Linked DNA regions of Alligator mississippiensis. The main gene of each other region encodes a partner of the protein of the gene in region 3 in a complex. Links are inferred from orthologs where the notes say so. Each region holds a gene or a part of one and is shown on either strand. Other genes may lie near its edges. The genes, in order: ARHGEF6, PAK1, MAP3K5 and DCP1A.

Region 1 (6,842 bases), on a different chromosome or scaffold from region 3:
GCTTGTCGCACCTTAGAAGCTCATAAGTCCTCTGAGAGGCTTGTCCTACTGAGTGCTCAACAGGTGTTGGCTTCTGGTTCTAGAGCTGCTGCTGTTAAAAACTATAATACCTAAAAGCACAAGGGTGCATACCCTTTGGGAGCAAAAAGCACAGTAAGCAATTAAATGAGGCTTCTTCTGTTAAAGGAAGATCACGCAGTGAAAAGGGAGTCTCCTGCTGTGCCTACCCCAGTTGGGGTGCCTTTGAAGTGCTGGACAGCTGTTCTCCAGCCTCTTCCTGTTGTGCTCATTCAGAGCTGGAGGCTGGCTTGGCTTGCTCTTCCTCCACCCAACCTGATTTCCTTCTATGATAAGGTGACGTTTTGTGGGTGGGAGAGCCCTCGACTTTATTTAGCAAGACTTTTTAATGACACTTTTGTTAATTAAAGAAATATGGACTAGTTGAAAGTACTGTAAGATGGATACATAACTGGTTGGATTATGATATTCAGTGAGCAGTCATCAACAGCTCTGGCGGGGAGGAGGTTATCAAGAGGGGTTCATCTGGTATTAACACCCTTAACAATTTGGATAATGGGATTGGATACACCTTTCCCAAATTTGCAAGCAACCCCAAGTTAGGTGGAGTTGCAAATCGTTTGGAGCACAGAGCTAGGATTCAGAAGGACCTGGATACATTGGAGGAACGAATCAATCAAATGAAATTGAGCAAAAAGTGCCAAATCCTGCACTTGTGCATGCAATTATTTCACACCAAGTACAGACGGGAATGGCTAGCTGGACTGTAGCACTGTAGAGAAGGACCTGGGGGTTACAGTGGACACTAAGATGAATGTGAGCAATTTGTGTGCCCTTGTTGCAAAAAAACCCAACAGCATTCTGGGTTATATTAACAGGAGAGTCACTTGCAAATCAAGGGAAGTGATCCTTCTGCTGCACTCAGTGCTGAGGAGGCCTTACCTGGGGTACTGTGCCCAATTTTGAGACCCATGCAAGATGTGAGCAGACTGGAAAGAGTCCAGCAGACTGTGCCAAAAATGATTAGGGGCTTGGGAAACATGAGGGAAGGCTGAAAAAATGAGGGTTATTTAGTCTGGAGAATTTAATAGCAATCTTCAGGTACCTGAAGAGCGATTTTACAGAGGGTAGAGACAGACTGTTCTCTGGCTGTAGGGGACAGGACCAGGAGCAATGGCCTTAAGCTGCAGCAGAGGACATTCAGGTTGGAGATTAGGAAGAACCTGGTGACCCTGCATTGAAACAGGCCAGCCAGAGAGGCCGTGACATCTTCATCCCTGAACATTTTCAAAAGCAGGTTAGACAAACGCTTGACTGGGATGGTTTCGCCAAGGATGACCCTGTCCTGAGCAGGGGGCTGGACTAGATGACCCGTCTAGCCTTACTTTCCTATGATCATAACAGGCCTGTTGCAGATGGGGGACGTGTTGGGGGAAACCTCGGCCCTTCCTGAAAAATGTAAAAGCGGGCGCAGCTTTGTCACTGCAGGATGGGAACCTTGAGTTTCTTAGTGGTGCTTCCTAGTCCTGGCTTTGGGCAGCACCTAAATAGCAGGGGGAAGTTGAGAACACTTTAGCTAATGACAGAGAAGGGAAATAGCCCAGTGCATCTGCTTGATGTCATCTGTATGTAAATGCCTGTTTAAACCCTTGAGCTGTAAGCATCCCCGTCTGACGATCAGCTTCTGCGTTCTCGCGGCCAACCCAGGAGGTACAGTACAACTTCCACGCATAAAACTGCTCATGTAACTGCCTCCACATTTTTGTGTAGGGTCCTCCGTTATTTTTCAGCCATGTCTGAATAGTTCCCCAGAGGTGATGATGTGAAAATACCCGTCTCCAGCTATAGGCCTACAGCTCCTAATCTGTAACCTAAAGCTATTTTTACAGAGGCCTGCTTCCTGAAGAGCAGGGTTACATACAACGTGGAGGGTCGAGTTACTGATTGGAAGGAGCCGAGTTCCCGGGCCCAACTATCTTGTGCAACTTTGCTGGCTCCTAGCCCCACTGCCCCAGATGTCTTATCAATCATCCGGAAGTCTGAGCTTGCTGCTGCAAGTAATTTAGGGTTTCAGCTCTGCCAAGATGGGTCAGTTTTGAACAGATTAGAAGAAAGGCCAGCTGCCTGCTTCTAAATTAGTGTCTTGGGTGATAACAGCTGCAGTTACACTGTTGGGCTCTTTGTACAGGCTAGGACAGAAATGACACACAAACCAGTATACGTGATTGGAAACCAATTCAGATGTGCAACAAACAGAAATTCAGTGCGTGTAAACCACTTTCAAAACGGCCAAAACCGGTTTAAGATGAACCCGGATGGGTGTAGCATCCGACTGAACTGATTTTGGTTAAACCGGTTCATTTAAATTCTGTCCCAGAACCAAATTAATTTACAGTCCCCCAGCATCCCAGGATGCTTTGCATCTCCCCCTCAACCCCCCACCTTGCAGGGTAGGCAGACTAGCCTTGGCCTGGCATCTGCTCCAGCCAAGCAGGAAGGCGTGCTCTAGCACCCCCCAGCTTCTGGCCTGGGCCAGTGCAGGCATGTGGGTGCAGTTCAGGAATCAAAAGTGCATGTCTGTTCACTTACTTATCAGTCCAGTCTATGCAGCTTAGACTAACCTGCAGCGGCTGCATCGATTCAGCCTCGGGCTTTCTAACTGTCTGCACTTGGCTTATAAGTGAGTGATTACACCGTACATCGTCATCCAGAACTGAGTGCAGTATCTCACACCCGTATGTCTTTATGGTTCATATAGCGGTGTCCTGAAGAGCTAGGTGAAACCTCTTGAACACCTGTCATGAGGCAGTTTTGTCTTATTAACTGTTGTACAATTTTTCCACAAAACATTTTTTTCCCCTTTATTCATGGTCAAATTTGAAAAAAATGATACAGGATCTGGAAAGGAAAAATCTTACAATGCGACTAAACTGATATCTATATAGCGAGAGATTATTTTGAAAATGAAAGTTTTAGTATTAAACTATATTAGAAATCTTTTTGTTACATTTTCAAAGTTGAAAAAGTAAAACAGTTTCAAGGATTTTTCCTTTTTCTGGTTTTTCTCCCTCTCAAGTGCCAGCAATAGCTCTGGTTGGTCGCAGACCTAAGCACGTGTCTAATTCTGTTCTGCTGCATTGGTATCAACTTGTGAGACTAGTCCCAGGGGTCGTTACATGCATCAGAGCTGCTCGCTTGCACGCTTTAGTAGGGTTGTGCTTCTCGAGCAGGGTGCTGCAGCACCTGGCGTGCCATGCGATCCTTTGGAGGGTGCCAGGGGATGCTGGACAATATTAGCACAGTTCGACACATCAAACATCCCTGCGTGATATACAAGATAAGCTCAGAGACTTCAAATAAGAATCCAGAGGGTCAAAAACCTGTCCTGTCACGGTCTTTCTGAGTTCTTTGCAGTGGCAGAATTGCCGTATTATTTTTCAATTAGTTAAAAAACAAGTGAAATTAGTTTCTGACATGGGGTGTTGCTAAATTCAGAGAAGGATATTGGAGAAATTAAGAACCACTGACTTAGATAATACATTGATGGGTGTGGTTGAAATACGTAAATAGAGCAAGATCGAACCTTTAGGCCTTGCCATGCTGCAAATGTGTAACGCAGAGATCTACTTTCGGTATATTTAAGCAAACTCACCAAGTACAAGAAACTATAAGACGCAGCATGTTTCTTTAACTGGGGTTAATCTGGTATGGAAGCCATGAAGTCAGTGGGTTTCCATGCAAAATAAAAAAAAAGTGTCAAGCCTTAGCTCTGCAAGCCCCAGAAGAGGCAGGAAGAGGCAATCACGGATGTGGGTTAGATTAGACCTCACTGCTGCACAAAAGATCGGCACTGGAGGCAGAATTGTCAGCAATGAACCCAGAAGAGCAAGCGGTGACATGGCTTATTTCCTTAGGAGTTTTGAATTCCCCCAAAAAGATCATCAGTGATCCAGAGGGATTCCTGAAAACTTCCCTGAAAGACGGGGTCGTGCTGTGCAAGTTGAGTAATCGGCTTCTTCCGGGATCTGTGGAAAAGGTAACCGACCTCGCTCATATAACCCCTTGCTCACTTCCTACTACAGCAGCGGCGCAGCGCAGCTGCAGGACCCGTCTTGGTGGACCCGGAGTGGTCTACTTTAGCAGGAGGTGCCGTGCATTTTGGCTTTTACTTTTCTGGGGTTGAAGGCCTGTTTCAGAGGGACTCGGGTATTTTATCTTGTGACCCAATGATCGTCTTTGATTGGCTGATAAGTTATTCTGTTGGGCAAAATCAGGCAACAATATTGTGCGTGTGACTTGCAGTTACGCTCGAGTCGGTTGCCTTATGTGGGCTCTTCCATTTTTAAAGTGGAAACGTTTAATCTACCAGAAGTCCATTTTAGCTTGATCGATCTTCCTAAAAAACTCCATTTATTACATCTGACGGTGCTAATATTGTCCAGCATCCCTTGGCACCCTCCAAAGGATCTTATGGCAGTCCGGGGTGCTGCAGCACCCTGCTCGAGAAGCACAATGTAAATAATGCAGACGATGAATACTTGAGCTTTAAATACAACTAGGTAAATACAGCTGTGCAACTACGTAAAGAAGCACAGTGGTGTTGTTTTCCTGTACCCCACCAGGTAAAAAACCAGACTCGAACAGAAATAAAAGCACTTGTCATCCCCGCCATTTTCAGCCAATTCAGTACATTGAGTTAATCCGTCTCAAATGTCTTGTTAATCAGTACATCCATTTCCTGGGTACATAAACAGGCAGTCTAAATCGGCAACAAATAATTGCAAGGGGGAAAAGAGGAAGGATCCCGATCAGAGCTAAAGAAATGGCCACGCAGAAAAAAGGCTGTTTAGTAAAAGGCTCAAAAACAATATGTTCCTTCCTCCTTACAAAACGGGAACTTTTTATTTCGAAAGCGGCCCTTGTGTTGGCTGATGTGCCCCTCTGATGGCATGCGTGGTGCTTTGGGGCAGCGTGCTCTGAAAGGTCATGAGCTTCTCGCTGTCACTTAGGGCACTGTCATATGTTGACATTCAAAAACAAGATGCCGACCATTTAGATTTATGCATCACTTCCTCCAGTGGCTCTTTCTTCCTGGTTCGACAGCTTGCCTGCCACCCCCATCCTCCCCCTAAATAAGCTTCCCTAATTCGGCGTAGATCACACACATGTCAAACATCCAGCATGCAGACCGCGCTGAAGGTACTACAGTAACCGTGGGGGGTTTTGCTTCTTTAGTATTGTCTGGAGCCCAAAAATGAAGAGGATTGCATCGGAAACATTCAGGAGTTCTTGAAAAGCTGTGCAGTCCTGCAAGTAGAGGTAAGTCATTCTATTAGTCTCCATTATATTTTTTTTTTCCCCACTCTACTAATTGTGTGATTTGTAATTATTCCTAAATGAGGCCAGGTGCCAGGAAACTGAAGTTACTGTCAATCTCTTACGTTAGCAACGTGCATAAAAGCCTGGATCATTTAATATTCTGGACAGGGACTCTGCACAAGGTTTTAGCGATGGGATATATAATGCCTCGGAGTTGAACATACTGCCCTTCAAGCCTCTGACACGAAGCAAAACGCTGAAGTAGGAACGTATAATAATATAACGACAGTCTTCCTAATGCATGCTAGTAAGCTGGTTGGACCGACCGGTGAATCATTTTTTTCAGTGTTGGGAGAGAGGTCACCCCGTTTTCAGCCCCGTGTTAACTAGTTGCATCGGATGATAACAGTCGGAGTGTTGTAGGTTGATACCGTGTCTTCCCTTGCAAAGGATCGTTTCACAAAGGGTGAGCCCAGTAGGGCAACTTTCTACATTTGCGTCTCTCACACATACTCTTACACAGAGCCCGAGTCCTGCCAAAGGACATAAGGAAGGGAGGAGGGACAGAAGAAAGAGGTCTTTGTATACCCCCAAGCCTTCCTGTCACCGAGCGAGGCCAGTCCCTGTGCCCAAACGCAGGCACACTGTGTGTTAGCGTGTGCTCTTACACAACAAGCTGCCGCAGGGTATGAAAATGAGTCAGGAGCTGTTCTGCGTGTGCTCGCTCCTGCTGCGCGGCCTCCCTCAAGTTAGTGTAAAATGCCATTAATGAAGAAAAGCCCTGTTGTGTTTCACATCGGCAACGTCCCACGGAAAGCAGCCGTCGTTTTTCAAAATCGTCACTGACTTCCTAATGGTTTGGTGGGGGGAAAAAATGCAATGCTCAATTCCTGTGCAGGCAATAACCGTCCACAGTTGTTACCGGGAACGAATCGTGGACTCCAGGGGGAAAGGAGAAGACCCAGCCGGTGCTGCTGCTTTTCACCTGAAGCTTTACATTGTGTAAGGAGAGTTGTTTGCTTGTCAAAGCCCTTACTCAGCTGACGAGCAGGCAGCTCTGTTATTTCCAAAACTGTCTCCTCAACCTGTTGTTTCCCAGCAATCTGGTGCCGGAAACCTGCTGCCGGCTGCAACAGCTTAGTTTTCAGAGCAAATATATTTGCTCGTTGAAGCCAAAAGAAACCTGATCGGGGCATGGAGGCAGCGTTTGCCAGTTCTGATTTTTTTTTTTATCCTGATTCTTGGTGACGGTCGATATTTTCTTTGAAATCCCCAGCTGCTGGAGTCGTGTGATGACCGGGGTGTTTCAGCTCTCATTTAAAAAAAATACAAATCAGAGTTTTAGCATGTGGGAGAAAAAAGCTCGAATAACATATGAATGCTGCAGGCTCAAAAGCATCCATCAAGCAAGGGGAAAGAACCCAGAAGGTGTTGTTTGGCTGAAAAATCATGAGGTTTTTGAAAGCAACTCGTGATCTTGAGAGGGTTTGGTAACACTGAAATCC
Region 2 (7,045 bases), about 350 Mb from region 3:
AGACCTTATCAGATCTTATTAGAGATTTTTGCAAAAGAAATCACCTCCACCTTGAGTTCTGGTTCCTTTTCCCTCTAGACCAGGCCGGCTACAACCTGGAGACCTTTTCCCATCTTTAACTTGCCCTGAGCCTGATGAAGGGCGTGTGAGCCCAAAAGCTTGCAGAAAAAAGATCATTTTCTTTGCATTTTCTCACTTCGTGTAATAAAAGGTATCATCTCCGAACCAAGAGTTCTAGATTTTTGCATTTTTCCCCAATCTAGCTTCTTTTTTTTTTTTAAAGAAAGGTCAGCAATGCCACCAGCAACAGAAAGAACAGCTCAATGAAGTCTTTGCTATAGCCTTTGGGGGATTTGTTTTTTATGTCAACTACACTGATTTCTCAGCAGTGATTCATCCACGTAACTGGAGAAACTGGTCTTGCACTTAAGGCACTGAACTGGAACTCAAAAGACTCCCAGCTCTGCAACCAACCAACCTACTGTGTAAATTCAAGGAAGTCACTTCCTCTCTACAACTCAGGTTTCCCATCTGTTTAAAAAAAATACACCTTTCTCCCATCCTCTCTGGTCCTTTTAACCTTTGTACTCAGGGAACCCAACTACATATTGTTCTGCACAGCTGCTAGTCCAAACCACACCTCTCCTCCCAGGGCAGGTTGCAAGTGTTTACTGTTAATAACTTCAGATTAAGAAATAAAACTGGGTGAATTTACACTGTTGCCTCCTTTTGACCTGGTTTATTTTTTTTCTAGGTAGACACAAGACACACAGCACTGGCAGACAGGAGGAGACAGTTGTGTTAGCTTTTAAAACCAAAACCACCAGGCCTAATTCATCACTGTTTATTCCACTCTCCCACCCGTCTAACACCCTTGATTTCAGTGTTACATCAGCCCAGAAGCAGAGCGAGGGAGTGGTACGTCAGGTCCAAAGAGCACAGGCTGTATGAGAAAAGAAACCATCCAAGAAGGTTATTGTTTAACCTGCATGCCAGATTAGATGGAAAGATCAAAAAGGAGCTGGATAGCTTCAATAACCAAAACCAAAACATTTGGAGCTCCAGATCACACAATCAGTCCAAAACCTGGATGATTATCGTGAGCATATTGTAACAGGCCTGCAAAACCATGTGGGACACCACAGTGCCTCCCAAAAGAAAGCATTTCATCCAAACAACTTCTGCAACATGCACGTTCCCACCCCCAGAAAAAAAATGAGATAACATTTAAAAATAAAGGAACTTACAGTCCTACATGAACCACAAACCTCTGTGACTAAACTTGAGACCATTTCTCCTTCTCATGTCCTTCCTGGACACGCTCAGTTTAGACTGAGTTTTCTGGGACAAGGCCCAATGAGACCCAAACACAGGAGCCTGGCGGATGCCCAGTTGAGGGGCTGTTATCAGCTGTGGTGTGGTCACCAGGAACAAAAAATACACCATATGATATCAAGTAAATAGGAGGAATGGTTAATATCGTGACCCTTTGGGTCACATGGTTGGACTGCATTTAAAACAGATAAAAGTAAACATGCCAAAATGCATGTTCATCTAATGCAGTCAATTAATTGCAAGGAAAAATGTTCAGGCCCCTCGTGGTGTGGGAAATTCAAGTCTTTCGGTTCACATTTTCTCTCTTGCTACATTTTCCCCTCTTGCAATGTAACGTCACACACAATATTCACCAAGAAGGTATTTCAGCTGGTCAGCAAGCTGGCTACCGTCCTCATTCAGCAAGATTGGTTTCTTCCTCAAACTTATTTTTGGGGTTGATTTCAAAGTCATTTATAGGAGAGGTAGTTTTAGCATCCCACTTGCAATCTCTGGTCTCCCCACGGGGTTCAAACGTGCCAATTATCCACCTCGCTGTCACCCTCCATCCCTGAACTTCAGCATTTCTCGCCTTGTGTGGACAGAAGGCGAAGTTCTGTCTCAGTAAAAAGCAAAAGTAATCGATGCTGGAACGGCAGCGTTACGATTCTCCTGGTTTCCAGCTCCCTCCTCTGCAGGAAAATCATTCCTACTCCTACAAAGAACCGGCACCAAGCGAAGAGAGGATTATAACAAAGTCCTCTCAGGGGACCCAGGCTAAGATGAGCCCAAAGCCTCTTTCCGAGCCCAGCCATGAAAGGTAAGAATGAGTGGCCTCAGCTCCCAAAGTCACCACGGATCTGCTTTACCTTGCGGGCTGAGATCTAATACATCACAAAGCTCCCAAAGCATAAAAAAGACATTCAGAGTAAAGGCACACGCAAAGGATGGGACAGAGGCGAATGCTAATATGCAACCTTTTGAGTCCCAGGGAAAAGGACAAGACTTTCTTCCTCTTGTGCTCTGACTTGCTGAAAACCAGACGCACGCCTCTCCCCACAACACCCGCTCTTCTCTCACTGTTCAGCCATGGCTAAAACACACCCATTCCGCCTTATTACACCTGTAGGACCTACCTCTTCGGTCTGGCACTTGGGGAAGCCCGCTTGCCTCAGCTGAGACAAGGCAGCGGCTCTCAGCAGCACTGGGGTACCAGCCCCAGGTGGCAGGGTGGGATGAAGGATGCAAAAACCACCATTTGCACAGTCAGCGGATGGGGCCAGCTGGCACTGCCACGGGCACGGGCTGGGCTGCTACGCTTTTCAGCTCCTGGTGCGACCCCAGAGCTTTTTTTTTGGCTCGCTGCTTTTGCTTTTTTCGTTGACCGCGGAGCCGCGCGAGAGCAATTCTGCAGCTAAGGAACGTGCGAGCCGGGGCAGAGGTGCGGGTCGCGGCCGCAGGGGCGGGGGAGCGCCCGGCGCCGCGCAGGCGGATGCTGCGGGAGCATCGGGGCTGCGCGGGGAGAGCCGGAGGAGGCGGCTCCCAAACTTCAGCTCCTCCCGAGCCCCGGGGCTGCATGCGGGGAAGGGGACCGGCACTCACCTCCTGCTGCTGCCGCCGCTGCAAGGTGCTGCCCGGCCGCGGCTGCTTGCAGGCTCCGGCTCCGGCTCCGGCTCCAGCCCCTGGGCGAGCCGTGCCCGCCTCCCGCTCCGCCTCCGGGCCGCGGGGTGCGAGCTCCTCCCCGCAGCCCCGGGCGAAGGAGCCGGGCTGCGACCTCCCCGGCGCCCTGCCGCTCCTCCGCACACGGGCTGGGGCTTCCCCGGGACAGGAGGGACAGGGCAAGGGGCTGAGTGACCCCAAGGGATGCTCACTGCTTCTCCCACCAGGCACCGCAGCATGCCAAGGACCACCAGCCCACTCCAACGTGGGCAGCTCTTTGCCGCCTGGGCATGAGCCGCTTGTTGCCCCCCAGCTTCCCCTTTAGCCTGGACTCGGGCTTGGAGGACAGGGACGAGCGAGGGGGTTTGGGGCAGAGTTTGCTTGGCTCAGGGGTGGTGATGTTTGTTTGGCTGAAAATGCCTATAAGATGTCGGCGTGCCAGGGCAGGGAGCCGATGTTGTAGCAGGGCAGCCCCCAGACCCTTCCCTGCCGTCTGCCCTGAGATGAGCGTGCCAAGCAAAATGCCTTGCAGCCTGGCACCCGTGCTGGGGGCTGCCTACCCCTGCTGGAGGCTGCAAGGGAAGGGGTGGAAGAGCTGGGGTGAGGTGTTGGCGCTGGACAGAGCTTGCACCAAACAGATGGGGAGCACGGACAGCTCAGCTCGCTGCATGGGCAAAGCATAGGCAGGAGCCTGCGGCAGCCCAGCTGTGAGCTCGGAGGAGAGCAAGCTTGCCTGGCAGTGGAGATACCGTGCTGATAGTCCTGGCCCATATGTACCTGGCAGGGGAGATCCCCTTCTTCCTGGCCTTGAGCAACTTGGCGCTGTTGAGAGTGGAGACCCACCCATTGCACTGGGGTAGGCTCCCCTGCAAGAGTCTGCTAAGCCCTCCCAATGGGAAGATCTCAGCGACATAATTTATGGTGAAGGGGATTGCTCTTGGGCTTTCCCTCTAGCTTGCTCCTTTGGCCTTTTAGCTAGGGGCGAGCACATCAAGGGGCATCTGAATGCCAAGGCTTGGGGCTTGTACGTAGGACACCTACCATGGATTTGGGAGCATCTGAAGCCCCAGGGGCTGAAAAGTCTGGGAGGAAGGAGACTTGCCTGTGGTAGCACTGCACAGACTTGAACAATTGAGCTCTGCTCAACTGATTTGGCTGCTTTGGCCCGAGACACAAGATTAAAAAAGAAAAGGAGAACAATAAGGATACTCGATGGTATGAAGAAGCCAGGCCTGGTGCATTCAGAAAAGAGACGTTGGAGCGGGGACGTGAGGAGGGTTTACCAAATTCCAAACAGCAAAGAGGAAGTAAATAAGGATGCGTTCACTGTTGACTCTCTTGCAATACTAGAACCAGGGGTCACCACATAAGGTGAGTAGTTAATTTAAAACTAGCACAAGGAAGTTCTTTTTCACCCAGTGTCACGAAGGTGGGCAACTCATTGCTGCCGGATGCAGGGGAAGCCGACAGTTTGGCCAGGTTCAAAAAGGGATTGGACACGTTCTCGGAGGAAAGGGGCATCGGCAGCTATTGAGCATGGGAGTTAGGGGCACAGCCTCTGACCCCGAACTTCCTAGACCAGCGGTGCTCAATGTTTTTTGTTCAGTAGGCTAGATGGGAGCCTCCGTGGGCCAGATCTGGTGGTGTTGCAGTGGGGCCCTATCTCTCCATGTGAAGGGGCAGCTGGCTCCCCAGAGGAGCAAAGGGGGCTTGAGCTGGCCGCTCAGGGGCAGCAGGAGAGAGCGCATGGCCTGGACTTGATCCAGCCTAGGAAGGGGGAAGAGGGTGTGTTCCAGCCCCAATTTGCCACACAGGGCTTAGGGTCTGGGAATCTGGCAGAGGGGAGGAGCAGCCATATTAATTGTCACCACTCCCTTGCCGCCAGATCCCCCAACCTGTGGGGAGCCCTGTGGGCTGGATACCAGGCTCCATGGGTCAAACTTGGCCTGCCGGCCAGAGGTGGAACACCCCTGTCCTAGATCTGAAATGCTGGAGGCTGCAAGTGAGAGAGGACCAGTGTTCAGCCCCGGTTTGCTCTCCCTTTCAGCATCCGCTGTCTGCCCCTGTGTGACACAGGACACGGGGCAACTAGATGGCAGTTCTTATGTAGTGGTGCAGGCACGATTCACAAGATAAACCCAGAGATTTCAAATGGGGATCTCTAGTGTGAAAACCTTTCTGGCCTGCTGCATGCCCTCTGAGTTCTTTGCAAGGCAAGGGTTGCGCTAATATTTTTCTGTAGCTGAAAAACAAGTGACAGCTAAGAGCTGACATTTTCCAAGGGGTGCTTCGAGCCTATGGAGGGGGCCTCATGTCTGAACTGGGCTAGAGGGAGTCTGAGGGCAAAAAATTAGCACTTTCCAGAATTGATTGTTCTTTCCCACCTTGTTTGAACCCAGTGACCATCTGCCCTTAGACAGGGAGGCAGAGATTCAAGGGTGGTTCTGGTCTGAGAAGTAGCAGTGTGACTGGCACCTTATTCCAGGGCCCTGTTCCCATGGGCAAATCCTGTCAATAAAGGGGTGCAAATGGTCAGGTGCATCATCACATATAAAAGAGTGCATATTTTTCTCATGGTTTTGCCACCTAGCTGATCAGGAACAAGTAGCAAAGCTGCTGGGGTCCCTCTGCCAGTAAGTATGGGGAGGGGAGGAGTGTACGGCTGCCCCGTACGCTATCATGATGGGAGAGGCCACAGCGGCTGCTAATGGAGCAGCACTGGTGATAAATACCACAGGACTGAGAGGTTTGATGGAGAAACTCAGTGTAGATATGTCCTAGCTGATTTGTCTGAAGCCAAATGCAAAAGGAAGAATTGCATACACTAGGAATAACTTCTTCCTACACTTCCTCTAAAGCAGAAGTACTTTGGGGGAAAATGTATGAGAGTCCTAGTACTTGAAAAATATTTCTGGAACTAAGGTAGGGCTAAATTTGTCATTAAAATGATGCATCAGACAACATCTGTGACATGTCCTGATTTTTAAAAAACTTTTCTGACCTTTCTCTTGTGCATTTTCACAATTCTCTTCTCCCAATGGCTGTCCTTGCTTCTTTCACCTCCTGACTCCTGCAGGGATAACAGACAAATCTGGCAACCCAATTTCCCACAAATACACACATGTCTATTCTTGAATTGGGAACTATGCAAGGAGCAATGGTGCTATGACATTTTTATCAAGAGGAAGTGGCAACAGCATTTTACATCTTGGTATTTAGGCAGGCATTGGTAAGGACTGGGCATGGTATTATATACCCTGACCTTAAATGTCGAAAGAGCTGGGAAAACTGGAAGCACCTCATGCCCCCAGGAAAAGGGAATGAGCCACCTCAGCAGAATGGCTTCCTGCAAATGCTTTGCCTAAATGCTGAATTTAGGACACTAAATTCAGTGTCCTAACTCAGCAAGGTTTCATATAAGATCCCTGTTGCTTTGGCAGGAATGTGAGTGACCTCAACGCCAAAGACAGATTTCTTTTCTCCTTCCCCGTTTTCTTGTGAAGTGCCTGAGACAGATAACTCGGTTCTAATGAGACAGTTTACCAAGCAAGTCAATTCAACATGAACTGCTCCAAATTGATGTAGAGAGCATCTGTGCTGCATGGTGGCGACAATTTAGCGAAGGCAAGATCTATACTTAGTTCTTGTACCACTTGAACACTGCCTTAGTACAGAAGCAGTCATTCCGGTAAAAGATGCTTGTGCCTGTATAGCTTCGGAGAATAGCTGCATCCAAACTAGGAGGCTGTCCTACTTAATTATATCAGTTTCTAACAACTGTGGGAAGAGCAACCCTCACTCAACCTAGAAACGGATTTATTTCAACCTGTGCAATTCTTGCCAGTGCTAGTAGATCATGGCTAAGGAAATAAAAGGGGCACAAAGTCATTTCCCCCCTTTTCTTAGTTGCCTCTGAGAGACCACGTCAAAGTACTTCCAAATTTATAGACTATTATTCTATTCTATTCTTGCTATTATTAAGAGATTATAACAGATATAGCAATCATTTGAGTCCCCTTGTAGGACTCAGAAAACCCTCTGTTTTCTGAATCTAGTCAAACATTATCTGTCT
Region 3 (7,498 bases):
CACACCATTACAAACAAGAACAAAGATTAGGCTGCAACCAGGGACAACTCTTTCATTTCCGTTTAACAAATGCATTTGGAGTACCAAAGAATATCATAAAAGAAAAAGATCAAAACTGCATATAAACTAATATGATATGTCAGAGACTTAAACTGCCATCTTTCACTTCTCTAATGCTTCTTTTTCCTTCAGCTGATTTTACAGTAGGAAGTGAGGTCTTCAAAAAATCTGTTTGCTACACAGGGAAGCAGGGAGGGGATCCAAGCCATACATGTCTGCAGAATTTAAAATTCTTGTTTTTTGGATTTTGTTTTCTTTAAATCACCTTCATGATTTGCAAAGATACAATACAAATGAGAATACTGCTATTTTGTCTTTCTGAATGCAGATAAGACTGTACTCATCCCTCTGCTGTTGCTCATAGTTTTGCCACACATTACTGTGAAGAACTGTCACTAACCTTGTGAGTTGCATGCTATTTGGAAAAAACTAAGTGCAGTAGGGCCAACAACTAGACCTTCAAACATTTGGCCTTATGTCCAAGAAGACACTCCAAAAAGTCTGGATGTTGTCCAAGGGGTAAAAGGTACTTCTCAGCAGGCCACTACCTAGGACTCTGCTTGTGGACTCTCCCAGTCATCTCTCATTTACTCCTAGACAGGTACTACTAAATAGTAGGGCTGTGCTGAAATATGCACTATTTTAATCACACTAGGCTAAAATTGCACAGCCATGCGAGTAGCACTTGGCTTCTACAGCACAAGCAGTGTCTGCTCCCTATATGTTCTTCCAATTAGCCATAGGGCTGTAAGTTTCTCTTATTTTAGCCTTGTACTTTGATGAATCTTGCTATTTTACAGAAGCAGAATGACAAGATAGTTTGCCTAATTTTGTAATACTTGGGGTTAAATCCACATAGATAGTGTTTAGAAAATGCTAGATTTTTACATTTCCACAACTTGCTGAAAAGCCACTGAAGTAATGTTGCATTGCATAAGCTTTCAGTTATGCAGTGTTATGTGCCAAAGTTCTGACTGCCAGAACTGGAGGGGCCCACCATCAGGTCTGATCTCCATGTGCAAGAAACACTTCTCTAAGCTACTGAAGCTTATCCTAATATTATCTGTAATTTAAGCCCTGACCAAGGCAATTTATCTTAGAGGCATGAAGCTGAGAGGAAACTGAACGTGCCACAGGCAGCCACAATGGCAGATGTTCACAGATATTTCTATAAGCCGAGATACTGATCAGAAGATCTAACATTTCACCCACTCCAGCGTGGCAGACTCTGAGTCCTGCAGAGTCCCTTCATCTGTACACAAAAATCCAAAAAATGGAACCTCTTTGCCTTCCTATTAGGATGTAATAGCACAGCACTTCTAACAGCTGTAAGATCAGGAGGTCATACACTCTACTCCAGCCAATGTGGTGGGACTTCCACAGTGTCAAAGGAACAGAGAGGAAAAGGGAGCAAGCTGTATAAATGGCATACCACCCATCCAGGATATGCTTGATTTCAGATGCTGTCTATTTTCAGTAACAGAGTAGATTCCTTAAGAATCTGATAAACTGCTGCTACTCCCCCCATAACCCTGCTTTGCTTTACTTGAATACGGCAGGTCTTTTTGTCAATGGAGCCAGACTAACCATACCAGAGTGCCCGGCATAGGCACTGCCTGCAAGTCAAATAGCTTCAGTTTTGCCACTAAGAATGCAGCTGAATGGGAGGAAAGGGGGGGGGGGGGGCGGAGGGATTTTCCTGCCAGCTAATTTACAACCCAGACAGAGCTCTGTTTAGTCCAGTGGCTCCCAACCTTTCTAGATTCAAAGCACCCCTTGTTGGACTCGAGGCACCCCTTGGAAAATGCAGGCTCTTTGCTTTCACTCATTTTTTGGCTATGGTAAGATAATACAGCAGTGGTTTGTAACCTTTCTAGACTCAAGGCACCCCTCAGAAAATGCCAGGTCTTAGTTTTCACTCCTTTTTTTTTTTTTTTGACTGTGGAAAACAAACAGATCAGTTCTTCTGTTGCAAAGAACTCAGAAAGACCACAACAGGGCAGGATGTCTTCAGCACTGTGGCTTCCTGCCTGAAATCTCCAGGCTTAGCCTGAGAATGACATTTGCACATCTGACAGTGCTAACATGGTGTGGCACTCAGCCCCCAATCCCAGCCTCAGATCGACTCCAAGAGGCTCCGAGATCTCCCGGTGGATTGAGATTCACTGGTTGGTGACCACTGTTTTACACAATGTCAATGCAACCCCTCCACCAAGCCCTGGACGAAGGCTGGGTTCACACTGAGGAGGCAAATGCCAATTAAAGTAAACAATGTTTGGTTGTCAGTAAAGAGAGTTTGCTGACAAGTATTTCTTGGCGTAGCAACCCTGTCCGCAAGCTGCTACCTGTGGCAGCATCCCCAGCAGGCTCTTGGGGGCACAGATTCACAGAAGTTGAAGGCTGGAAGGGACCTTGTGAGATTATTGGGTCCCTTCCAGCCCGAATGTCTATGCAAGCTATGAAAAATCAGCCGCCGGGGAGAGGAGGTGCTTGGAGGCGGGGGAGGGCGCCCCGACGCGGGGCCACGGCCAGGGTCGGGGGCGCCACGTGCCCGGGCGGGCCGGCGGGCGGACTCACCGGCGCTGTAGAAGCGGTCCAGCACTGCCGTCTCGCCGAAGTCCAGCTTGGCGAAGTGCAGCGCGTCCAGGGCGGCGCCCACCGCCTCGCACGCCTCCCGCAGGCTCTGCAGGGCGCCGCTCTCCGCCGGCCCGCCGCCCTCGTTGATCACATAAACCACGGCCGTGCGCCGCCCGCCGGCCTCGCGGCTGCCCCCGCCGCCCGCCTCCGCGCCGGCCGGGGGGCTGGGCACGGCGAAGCTGAGGCCCCCTTCGCTGCTGTCGCTCATGGCGCCGGGCTCAGGCCCGTGCCCGTGCCATGTCCCGGGCTGGCCCCGGCTGTCAGTCCCCGCCGCAGCCCGCGGCGCCGCTGCCTGCTCGCGGCTCAGCAGGACCGCCCCGCCCCAGCTCCGCCCCGGCTGCGCGGGGCCGCCTTCCCGCTCGGCCCTTCTTTGCCGCCTCTCGTCTCTGGTGCCTTGGCCCCTGCTTCTGCCCCCTCCTTTGACTCCCCCTGCCCCTGACTGCCATAGAAGATGGGATTGGCAGGGCCCTCGGGAGGTCGTCTAGTCCCGTGTGTCTCAACGCGTGGGTCGTGACCCAAAAGTGGGTGGCAAGAATACATGGAAGTGTCGCAAACAAACTTGCGAAACGGATTCTCGGTTCAAGCAGTGCCCTGGCGAGCCTCCTGGCAGCCCTGGGCAAACTTGTAGTATCGGCAGAGCCGACCCGAGCAGCGTGCGGGGCCCCGGGCAAATCACCCCAGTTCACCCCTCTAGGGACAGCCCTGAGCATCGGGCCCCCCTTTGCCAGAGATGATAATAATAATAATAATTTTTTTAATTACCGTTTTCAGGCCCCCGCGAGTTTTGCCCATGCATTGTCCAGCCCTGCTTTAAAGGAGAAAAACATGGGGAACTGAGGCTTTTCCCTTGCAGGCTGGCAGAGTCCTCGACTGTGAGGGGCTGCTTAGGGCTCCACATGCCCCACGTCCCCCCTCCCCCCCACATACTGGGGGCCTGGGGGCAGCAGGTTGGGAGTGAGGGGCGCTAGCTAGGTCGGGACTGGTCGTGGACGTTTATAAAAGGGTCCTGGTACAAAAAGGGTTAAGAACCACTGATTTAGTCCGACCTCCTGCTTAAAGCAGGACCCTCCCCAAACTAGATCATCCCAGCCAAGGCTTTGTCTAGCCCTGTCTTTAAAACCTCCAAGAATGGAGAGTCCACAACCTCTCTGGATAACCTGCTCCAGTGTTTTGCTACCCTCCAAGCGAGAAAATTCTTCCTAATATCTAACCTAAACTTCCCTTGCTTCAGCTTCAGACCGTTGCTCCTTGTTCTGTCATCTGCCAGCACTGAGGAAAAGGGTCTGCCTTCCTAGAGATCCTGGCAATCCCTCCTTGCTGCGGGGCACAGGTACTACCTGGAGACCAGCACCCATCTCCAGCTGTTAGTGGGGAAGGGGAAGGAGAGAGGCATATGTGTACTTCAGTGTCAGAGCAATGTTGTAGCCATAATGATCCAGAAATTATGCAAGAGGCAAGGATTTTGTAGGGTGATATCTGTTATTGGCCCAGCTGCGTAGGTGGGATAAAGTTGGACATGGTTTCCAACCTAAGACATTCTTCCTCAGAGTTCCCTGAGCTATTCTTCCTCTCCCTGAGACCTGAGGAGGAGTGTCTTACATGCCACAACACACCTTGTCTAAACCTTGTCTAACTTGATCTCAGCTACACAGTCTGTCCAATAAAAGATATTACCCTGAGATAACCTTGCCCCTTGTTTGTAGATAACCTTGCTGGTTCAAGCAGCACCCTGGCGAGCCTCCTGGCAGCCCTGGGCAACCTTGAAACAACCTTGCCCCTTGTTTGTACTTCAGGCATATAGCTCTCTCACCCATGAGCTGCAGGTACAGCTCATCCTCTGTCAAGAGCCCTCAGATGTGAGGAACAAGGAGACTTATTTTCCAGAGAGCAGCACACGCTGTTGAATACTTTGCAGAGACTCACTTGCAAGGGACAGCTGTGTTTAGGCCTGGCATGTAGGGCTCTGTGGCCAATAACATTTCTAACGAAATAGCTAGGATTCAGCATCATCAGGTTGCAACCTGCCCCTTTGAAAAATGTCTTTGTGCTTGGAGGTCAGGCAGGCATTCCTGTGCCATGTTGGCAGCCCCAAACATTGCAACACACACATGCAAGGGAGCCAAGACCTGAAACTCACCCTAACTGAAATGAAGCTGATGAATCTGCTTTCATTGCTTACCCTAAGTACAAATACTTTATTGTTCTAGTTAGAAGTAAACCTGTAGAAGTACACCAGGAATGTACAGATGCCTGCCTAAAATACCTTCAAACTACCCTCAGCAACCACAACACACTGCACAAATCATCCATTTCATCCTCACCCATAACAACTTCACTTGAAACAACCGGTACTTCCTCCAAGAACCATCAAAATCACACCTGACTTATTCACACTTAATTTATAATTGGCCTTCAATTTTGTATGTGATAAACAAGTGTAGAACAACCACAGGAAAATTAATTGTCATCTAATCTACAGCATACAACAGATTTTTAGTTTGTGTGATGGTCAAAAATGATACGTACTGACTTGTTTTTAAAGGAGCACAAAAGCACAAAATACAAAGCTGTCATGCAGAATCATAGCTGTCATGCAAATCCACCCACCACTGCAGATATGTCACATTTCAAGAAACCAAAACAACATGCTTGTGTGGTGTTGTGCTCAAGAACAGTACATATTCATCAGATGTTAAAGGAAATAATTGCCTTTGAGGAGGAGGAAAATACATGTGTTTTTTTTACCCACAGGGCAGTGCAGACTTCAGTATTAATATTGTATGAGGTTAATGGAATTTGGATTGGGCTCTAAGGATTTTTTCTACTGACTTTGGAAGTGGGATCCAGTGGTATAACTATGGGGTAGAAGAGGCAATAGGTGCAACTGCCTCCAGTGCCAAATTGGGGGGAGAGCAAACAAAAAGTAGCTGCTGCTGGCACTTGCACATTCACAAACCAGAAGTCACCCCTTTTGTTTTGCTCCAGGTATCTGGCTGCATCCCTACAGTGCTAGTGGGATCAAGCCCTAAGTTAATTGAAGCAATTACAAATTATTCAATATATACAGTGCATACAATTAGGATATATACTTTATAAGGGAGGTTCCTGCCTTCCACCCTGTTACTTTCTTGAGGTAACTTCAATACTATTAATTATGTACTGAGGTGCCCTTCTAGATTGGGGCCTATATTAGGCAATATAGAGGATTATTTTATTTCACTATAGAAAAAATATACATAACTTGCTGTATACAATAGTTCATGTGTTCTTTTTCTTTCTCCAAAAATAACTGTTCATGGAAAAATAAACTCATTATCTTGTTCCCTAAATGCCTTAAAATTAATATAGTCAGTACAGATAATTTGCATGTAATCAACTTGCCCAAGCTTGGGGTTGCTTCTGCACTGATTTAAATCAGTAGCAAAACTCTTCTTGACTACTAAGACGGTAAAATTGTCATGTCAGCAGTTCTCTCTTTGTGTGTGGGATTTTTTTTGGCACTAACATAAAGGAGCCTTGATTTCTGATCAGGCAGTAAATACTACTATAATACAAAGACTTGTGCTGTTAATATTATATATTCATTTTTAATTTTATTTTTTGTTTTTCTTGCTAAAGAAAGATTTAAAAAATAAGCATGCTATCTCTCCAGAAAATAGCTCCAAGATATTAATATGTGGAGAATTAGAAGAATTTTTTGCAGACTTCACACAAAAGAATACCTTTACAACCAAGACAGAACTATTTCTGACAACTCTTCTGCCTCAATAGATTAACAAAACCAACAACAAAACATCTGACTGGACACCTCCCAGCCAACAGGACCACACATTGGACTACTAAATTGACTGTTTCAGGAAGAAAAATGCTAAAGGTGACACCCTACACCATGAAAGCACAGTTGCCTGCCTAAAATACCTTCAGGAAAACGGACCAGACTTAGATCTGCAACCGCAACATATTGTGCAAATCATCCATTGCACCCTTACTCATACCAACTTCACCTGAAATAACCAACACTTCCTCGAAACCATGGGTGCAGACATGGGCACAAGGATGGCTCCCCAGTATCATAAGCTACCTGGAAAAGGAGTTTTCACAAAATTGCAACACCAAACCAGTACTATATTTGCACTAAATAGATGACATTTTCATGCTCTGGACCAAACACCTGGACTCACTTTTAAAGTGTCATCTTGAAAGGATTAGAACTCAAATATTGGCATAATAGAATTTTTGAATTCCTTCAATAAATAGTCCAAAATGGGGTCCTAAATTCTCTGCATCTCCAAAGAGAACTGTTCTAATTAAGAATGACATATTATGTCTAAGGTTATATAAGGCTATGGCGCATAAATCCACCATTTCTATGTCTTGGCAGAATGTATTAATTCAAGAACTTGGTTTATCTATGTAAGCTAGTAATAATCAGCTTAGAGTTAAATAAATGGTATTTCGCATATGAGTTCCCACATTTGTAAACTAAACATCTTATATAAAGGTAGGTACAGTAGACATACCTCTCTTTAAATTATTTTCTCTAAATGTTTTGGAATGAAAAGAAGTTCAACTATTGTAATGTCTCCTCTAACAAGCAGTGAAAGAGTATGCAGAAGCACAGTCCAGTCTGGTCCATTAAAAGCAGAAAGATAAAAAATTATGGATATGGGAAACCAAGATGACTGGGAGATCTTGAAACAATACCTGGGCCTGAACCAATCTTTTTTTAAAATGGGCTTTGGGTCAGGTCCCAAGCGAGGAAAAACAATTACTTAAAACAGAATCATCAGTTAGGTCATTA
Region 4 (7,549 bases), on a different chromosome or scaffold from region 3:
AAAGATAGGCCATATTGAGAAAGAGATCCACTGCAAGCAAAACATCCGGGAGTGGTAGGACTTGTGACCATTATTTCAGATAGAAAAGTGGAGAACATTCACTACCTGTCATTCAAATTTGTCTCTGCGATTGCTGGTTCCATTTTACTTGCCACTATCTAGTCCAGGGGCAGGCAAAATGTGACCCAGAGGCCAGATGCAGCCCACCAGGCCATTCTATCCAGTCCGTGGGGCCCCTAAAAAATTTAGAAAATTAATATTAATCTGCCCTGGGCTGCTTGTCATGCGGCCCTCGATGGCTTGCCGAAACTCAGTAAGCGGCCCTCTGCCCAAAATAATTGCCCACCCCTGATCTAGCCCCATTTACTTTTCATATCCTACATAGAGCAGTGAGGCTTTTAAGCATGACATGAGATTTTACTGGGTGTGCTCAGTTAGTTTCTCTAACATCTTAACAAAAACACTGAATTCTTTGCTGCTGCTACTCAGTCAGCCAGGGGAAATATTAAAGGGCATCTATACAAGTGCTCTGGGGTGGGGGGAAAGGTGCTTTAATTAGAGCGTCTCTGAGATCCGCTCTAATTAAAGTGCCTTCAGCATCTGTGTATTCAATGCTCACGCTTCAAAATGGCAGCAAAGACAATTTAACTAAAGCTTGTTCAACGAGATTTAAAGTGCCCCTGCCATAACTTTGAAATACAGGGACGCTGACTACACCTGACGCGGAGGCTGCTGGAGCGTGCTAATTAGCACGCTCCAGCAGACTCGCAACAGACTCAATTAATGGAGTCTGCTCCAATATGTGCTAATTAACATGCATCGGAGCAGAGCTTCATCACATGTATAGGTGCCCAAAACGACTACAAACTGAAGAATGTTCTTCCTACCTGAACTCTGAAGTGGAGTTGCCAGACAAGCAAAAAACTTTGGAAGCTATTTAAATAATCTGTTCTGGAAAAGGTAGTGACAAGGGTGGGGGCAGGTAGAAGTAAAACTACATAGAATGAGCTCCAGATAGGTAAGTAGGCAAACAATGGAGAAAGCCTCCCCTGACAACAGCAAGCCATTGATGGAAGAGATGAATCACTACCACTTGGCCTGTTTTAATGTTAATGTATGTAGAGTACATACAATGTAGCACTCAGTGTTCTTCTGTACTATAAAACCACTACTGAATAACTGAAATGCAGAATGTAACTCACTTAATTTGTTGAAGCACAAATGAAGTCTGTCTAACTTAAACTGAAAATATCAAAAGGTCATTGTAAACACTGTACCACTTCAACAGGAGTGTCTTACTGCACGAACCAGAAGTATACGAGAAGCGAACATTTTCCCTACACTAACTGCTTCAAAATGCAAGAGAAAACAAAAGGCATTTGCAATACACATCAGTCACTGAGCAAGCCTAGCACAAGAAAACTAACATTTCATTCACGCAAATGTCAAAGTTTGAGGCTACCCGCATGCTGTATACTTCAGGGGTCAGGAGGCATATGGGAGGCCATACCATTTATTTCTGAAATAATGAATCAGCAGCAGTGAACAAGGAAAACAAACTCTCTGACAGTGGAACTGGAATTAGAGGATGGAGGAGGAAAAGAAGTCATTAACAGAAACTGGCACTTGGTTTTGTTATCTCTTCACATTTTGCTTTCAATTCAAAATGCAGCAAAGGAACTTTCACATTTGACAAGATCTGACACAGCAGAAACCTGCCCCTTTTCAAGATCAGTTCATTACATTTATCTAAAAGATACATTTGTTTTAGAGGTTTATTTGAGCCTGTTGTGAAAAACAAGAGCCTGTTTAGTGCAGCTATTAGAAACACTGTTTAGATGCAAAATCTAAAAGGATTTTGGAATGGTGTTTCTCTTTCTTTCAGTCTCAAATAAAAGACTTATTAACTTCCTTTTAAAATACAAAGGAGAGTCAATTATCCAAACTAATTGGACCCAAACATTGTTCATAAAATCCAGTTGTTTGGCTAATGAAACACACTAAATGAACACACACCAGTGCCATTCTCTGAAGCAAGCCTGGCATCAGAATTGCCTTTTCCAGTTTGTGGATTATTTCAGTTTTTCCTGTCATTAAAACAGTTCTCTTTCTATTCAATGCCATTATTCTCACTTGTACCATGCACCAGAGGTTGGCAGCACAGCATGCAGTTAGATAAACAGTGTGTGGATAATTCACGTTCTACTGTAATTTTTCAAATATTTTTGCTTTTTCATACTTGCATTTCTCATTCAACATTTTATCTCATCATAGGTACCACTGGATGGACATGGGAAGCTCCTATTGAAGTTACTGCACTTAGACCTACACTGTGCCAGCTAATAAAAAGGATGAAGAAAGAATACTGTGGTTCTTGGATGGATGAGCCTGTTCTTGTCATGCTGCCTGTCCCTTCAACAAGCCACTGACTTTCACTTACCCTTTTTGAGAAATATAAGACTCCTGGAGCATCTGGAGAGAGAAGTTTCTTGTTCAGGTAGGCAAACACTACAGAAAAGGACCTGGGAGTTACAGCCAACAGTGTGCCCTTGTTGCCAAGAAGGCTAATGCCATACTGGGCTGCATTGGTAGGTGTTGCCAGCAAACCAAGGGAAGTGATTCTTCCCCTCTATCCAACACTGGTGAGGCCACATCTGGAGTTTACTGTGTCCGGTTTTGGGCCCCCCATTACAGAAAGAGTACAGACAAATTGGAGAGAGTCTAGTGGAGGGCAACAAGAAGGGTGAGGGGGCTGGGGTACATGACTTATGAGAAGAGACTGAGGGAACTGGGCTTATTTTGTTTAGAGAAGAGAAGATTGGGCACATCTACATGTGCATTAATGTGCCATAGGTAAGGCACATTAAGTGTAGTACCTGTAATAACAGGTACTAACTGAATACACAGTAACTGGTGCTACTGCGCTGTAGTGCCAGTGCACACCTTTTTAGTGATGCTAATGCACAGTACACTAATTCTGTCAGGGGGTGTACCGCCAATCTCAGGGGACGCACCGCCAATCTCAGGGGACACACGTGTACCCCCTACGTGTCACCAATGAGTGGAGACCAACTACTGGTAAACATTTTCCTATGAACCAGTGGTATTCATCTGGCACAATTTTACTGAAGGTAAATCAGGTGAGGCTCCAGTTTTGTGTCTGCTAGAGGCACTGTCTACATATGGCAAATATTAATTAAAACAATAGCGTATTTTAGTACAAATAGTTACAACAGCTTTTATTTCAACACGGTTCAGTGAGACGGATGATTTTATCCATGGTAGCATGAGAAGGAAAGACTGACAGGATGACCTGCACATCTCTTCAGTAGAACAAGCTCCAGGGAAGAGTCTGAGGGCAGAATAAAGAGGACTTCACCTGCTGTGCCCTCATTCTGTCCATTCACTTTGCTGTTGACATGGCCCTGGGGCACCTACCTGCTGCCTCCTTCACCCTCACATCTCCATATTGGCTGTGCACCAGTTGGAAAGCAATTAACCTTGAAGAGGAAAACCCCTCCTTGCTGGAGCCACAACAGATCCTGCTGGACAGACAAAAGTGTCACTGCAGGGAAACCCAACAGAGTCTGTAGTGCTGCTGGTACTACGAGAGATTTTTGGTGGAGCTGGAATCTGAGAGAAAGCTCCATCTGTTAGTATATTTTTTCTAATATTCAATATTGTAAAAAAAAAAAAGTGTCCAAAATGTTCAATACCCACCCAGATAGACCAAGTCCTATTAAACAACTATATTTGATCTAATGTAATACAAGCTGTGTAATAGGGAAGTCCACTCGGCAATGACTTTAGCAGCAATAATCAGTTATGTGACCAGAAAGGTAGATTGTGTTCAATACCCAGGTGGTGTAAGTGGGACAGAGGTAGCTTGTCGCTCATGGGCAGCATCTCAGCTCATAACAGTAATAAGGATAAGATGCCAACGCATACGAGGATCCTGGGGGAAAGTAAAGAAACGAACCGGAGTTAGGCTATTGCTAACGGAAAACATGAATCAACTTTTACCTTCAGAAAGCAAAACATGAACGAATTGGGATTTTACTGCACAGGAGCAGACTCCTGTACTGTCGAACAGACCCCAGACCACGTCTCAAAATCCCTCGCTTTGCAAGCACTTACTAGTTTGCGAGCTTCTTTTAAAAAAGGCAGAAAAAAGAGAGATTTACTGAACTCCGATTTTATGAGAGGAGAAAATGAAAGCGGCGAGGGGACAACTGAATACCACCTGGCGAATACCTGGTGCGGTGCTGCGACAACCTGGGGAGATGCTACACGGGTTGTTTAAATCCGTAGTGGCGCAGGGCTCCCCTTCCTCGTCCCTTAGGAACGAGCTCGGCCCTTGGCCAAGGAGGTGGCAGGAGCCCTTTGCCCTCGCATCTCCGGGCTCCTCCTCGCTGCCCACCAGATCCTGCTCACGAAGAAGCACCGCGTTCAACACGACTGAGTCCCGGTGTGGACATGTTCACCCCCCGGGCCGGGCTCTAATTCCCGCGGGACAGGCCCCGGGCTGGCCGTGAAGCAGCCCGAGGGGCCGGGCGGAACGAAGCTGGGCGGAACGGAAGGCGCGGGGCGCGCGCGCGGCGGACGGCTGCGCGGTGGCTCCGCGCTCAGGTCTCGCCGCCGCCCGCGGCTCCTCCCGCGATCCAAGATGGAGGCGCTGAGCCGAGCGGGGCAGGAGATGAGCCTGGCGGCCTTAAAGCAGCACGACCCCTACATCACCAGCATCGCCGACGTCACGGGCCAGGTCGCGCTCTACAGCTTCAGCCCCAAGGCCAACGAGTGGGTACGTGCGGGCCCGGGGCCGCGTCGTGCCCGTCCTGCGCGGGGCCCTGCGCCAGCAGCCTGGGGCTCCGGCGGCTCCCCCGGGCCCACGAGGCGGGGACCTTCGTCTCGAGGGAAACAGCCTTTTCCTCGAGTGCCGGCGCCGCCTGCCCGTGCAGCGGCCGCTGCTGACAGCCGCGGGGCTGGTGGCCGGGGGAAGGCGTTGGAGACGCGTGTCTCCGCGGGGGCAGGCGCTCCCCCCAGGAAGGTGGAGAGGAGAAACTCTCGGTGCCCTCTGCGTTTCCCGAGCAGAAATGAGCGATGTGAGCTGGCGCTCAGAGTTTCTGCTGAAGTTACAGAGGTTCACAGTTAGAGGCTGGAGCTGGCGGGCTTGTGCCTCTTCCTTTCCAGACCCCCACCCGCCCCTGCCCACCTCCGCTGAAGCAAGTGTAGCTTCATACACACGAGTGCTCAGTTAGGAACAGGCTCTTGTGAAAGCCCTTCTTTTGCGGGGGGGGGGGGGGCCACAGTGAGGTTTTCTTTTAATTAACTTTTAGTGTTTAAAGCAGGGGTCAGCAGCGTTTTTGGGCAAAGTGCCCCAAACACCTGTAACCTCGGTTGGTGAGATGTTGGTGTGCCAGGGAGGGAGAGTGTGGGCGCCGCCCGGGGCCCAGTCCTTGTTGTGGCTGTGCACACCTGGCCCCTTTGCCCACAAGCACGCGTGCCAAGCAAAATGCCTTCACGTGCTACACTCTGGCACGCATTGGGGGTTTCCTATCCCTGGTTTAAAGCAAAGTCGTGATGAATGAGTAGAACGAGATATCTGTGAATGACTAGGAGAGAACAAACGGTATGCTGACTTGACAGCAGTTATGTGCGAATTGTCATTTAGGTCTTCTTACAAGACAGTGTGTATTCTTCTGGTTGTTTGTGGAGTTAAATGTATCCTTGTCTGCCCTAAAATGGGATTTCCAAGGAAAACTCTGAATTTTTCCTTTGCCCGTTTGGTTTGCACACGAGGGAATTGCAGGATACTACTTATTACTAACAAGGGAATAATATTGTTCATGCAGGCCAAATGATGTATATAACCACATGTTGCCTAATAGTTTTAGGCAGATATGTGAAATGCAAGAGAATTATACTCTGTCCCTTTTGAGAAGGTGGAATCAGTTTATCATGATTTTAGTCAGCAAGCTGCGTAACTCTGTAAGCAGACATATAGTTGAAATAAATCATTGCTGTCTGTTGTAGGAGAAGACTGACATAGAAGGTACCTTGTTCGTATACAGAAGGTAAGGTATTTTATGTAAAAATATATTTTTTTGTATATAACTGTTTTGTTGATCTTCAGTCATGTTTAACTTTCCAGCTATACTGGTTTCTGTTGTCCAGAAAAAAATAATCTCCAGCTAATTCTTTTTCAAAAAAGAAATGTAGCACCTAAGCACAATTCCTACAAAAAGAACAGAAGATTTTTCAGGAGCAGTCTTGACACACAATTACATAGAAGTGGAAAATTTTAATTGGGCTATTTTGGTAGTGCATGATCATTCACTAACTAGTATATTCTTCTGTGCCGTAAGTGACTCAATTGATGAGGCTTTCTCCCCTTCTTGTAGTTCAGAAATTCCAGATGATAAACGTTAGCATAATTTATATAATTTTTAAGTCCATACAATTTAAAAGCCGCTAGTTTATGTATGAACAGTTTTGGGTGTTTTTGATGAGGTTATTGAGTGACCTTGAGCAACATGGCCAAATACTTCTTTTTAGTAAGAGTTAATGTAAATATAACCAATGATTTAGACCTACCCCAAAAGCAAATCAGTAAGTTTGCAGCCTTTCATTGTTCCATTGTATGTAAGAAATGGGAATGAATCCACCCTTCCTGAGAGACAGCCACCATTTAGTATTTTATTTGATAATCACGTGGTCAAGTGGTTTATATACTTAGTTTTCATGGACTTCACTTGCATCCCAATACTATGAGCACTCAAGCAAATTGAATAATTTTTTACTACTGGTTGCAGGTCTAAATATTTTATTTGAAGCTATTCATGATAGTAAAATAAGTACTGTGTATATTTAAATCTTGAGATTAGCATGTTTGGCCCTCTCAGGAAAGTTTGCATTTCACTTTCTTAAACTTTAACAGGATGTGGCCATGGTGCTGTTGAAAGGTTAACCTTTCAAACAGTTAATCACATCTGATAAGAATAGAGTAGATTTACGCTTGATTCCCAACCTGCCTCCCTCTCCTCCCCCCCCCCCCCCGAATGCCCCATAACATGACAAAAAAAAAAGAGCCGTCCTAGTGCTACAGTGTTACTTGTACAGTACGTTTTAACGGCATGGCTAAGCATGCTTATAGTGTTCATGTGATTAAGAATTTTAAGGGGACAAAGATACAGCCTTTGTCTTGAGATTGATTGATTGGTTTTGTTTTCAAATTTGAGTCCAGAGCAAATCTTACACAGAATATCTTTTATACTATTTGTTAAAGCAGTTTTTCTTTAGGTTTTTTTTGTTTTTTTTGTTTTGTTTTTTTTTAAGGAACTATACTCGGGGTTAGGGGAAAAGTAATTCAGAAGGAAGAACTCTCCCTTTACAGGTCTGCTCTGAACTCTTATTCTAGATTTTAATGGAACTGTACCTGTTTAAGGTAGGGGTAAATTTGACTTGAAAACATTGGGCCTTTTGATGTGACATTCTGCAACAGGGGCCAGAGCCCACCAAGTAGAGGTATAAGCCCCCCCTTGATGAAGGG

The links.
Region 1: MAP3K5 (region 3) and ARHGEF6 share a complex: the UniProt entries of both Homo sapiens proteins name them as parts of the cytoplasmic complex. The link is inferred for Alligator mississippiensis from reciprocal best matches to the Homo sapiens genes MAP3K5 and ARHGEF6.
Region 2: MAP3K5 (region 3) and PAK1 share a complex: the UniProt entries of both Homo sapiens proteins name them as parts of the cytoplasmic complex. The link is inferred for Alligator mississippiensis from reciprocal best matches to the Homo sapiens genes MAP3K5 and PAK1.
Region 4: MAP3K5 (region 3) and DCP1A share a complex: the UniProt entries of both Homo sapiens proteins name them as parts of the cytoplasmic complex. The link is inferred for Alligator mississippiensis from reciprocal best matches to the Homo sapiens genes MAP3K5 and DCP1A.

The regions. Positions count from the first base shown.
Region 1 is NC_081831.1:79,759,809-79,766,650, forward strand, and holds the start of ARHGEF6 (rho guanine nucleotide exchange factor 6), read left to right. Parts: upstream 1-3,824; 5' UTR 3,825-3,889; coding exon 3,890-4,054; intron 4,055-5,253; coding exon 5,254-5,337; intron 5,338-6,842. UniProt on the Homo sapiens protein: Acts as a RAC1 guanine nucleotide exchange factor (GEF).
Region 2 is NC_081824.1:471,028,174-471,035,218, forward strand, and holds the start of PAK1 (serine/threonine-protein kinase PAK 1), read right to left. Parts: upstream 3,021-7,045; 5' UTR 2,917-3,020; intron 2,731-2,916; exon of another isoform or gene 2,451-2,730; intron 1-2,450. UniProt on the Homo sapiens protein: Protein kinase involved in intracellular signaling pathways downstream of integrins and receptor-type kinases that plays an important role in cytoskeleton dynamics, in cell adhesion, migration, proliferation, apoptosis, mitosis, and in vesicle-mediated transport processes.
Region 3 is NC_081824.1:118,877,676-118,885,173, forward strand, and holds the start of MAP3K5 (mitogen-activated protein kinase kinase kinase 5), read right to left. Parts: upstream 3,005-7,498; 5' UTR 2,906-3,004; coding exon 2,638-2,905; intron 1-2,637. UniProt on the Homo sapiens protein: Serine/threonine kinase which acts as an essential component of the MAP kinase signal transduction pathway. Plays an important role in the cascades of cellular responses evoked by changes in the environment.
Region 4 is NC_081835.1:25,101,116-25,108,664, forward strand, and holds the start of DCP1A (mRNA-decapping enzyme 1A), read left to right. Parts: upstream 1-4,540; 5' UTR 4,541-4,666; coding exon 4,667-4,801; intron 4,802-6,033; coding exon 6,034-6,074; intron 6,075-7,549. UniProt on the Homo sapiens protein: Necessary for the degradation of mRNAs, both in normal mRNA turnover and in nonsense-mediated mRNA decay. Removes the 7-methyl guanine cap structure from mRNA molecules, yielding a 5'-phosphorylated mRNA fragment and 7m-GDP.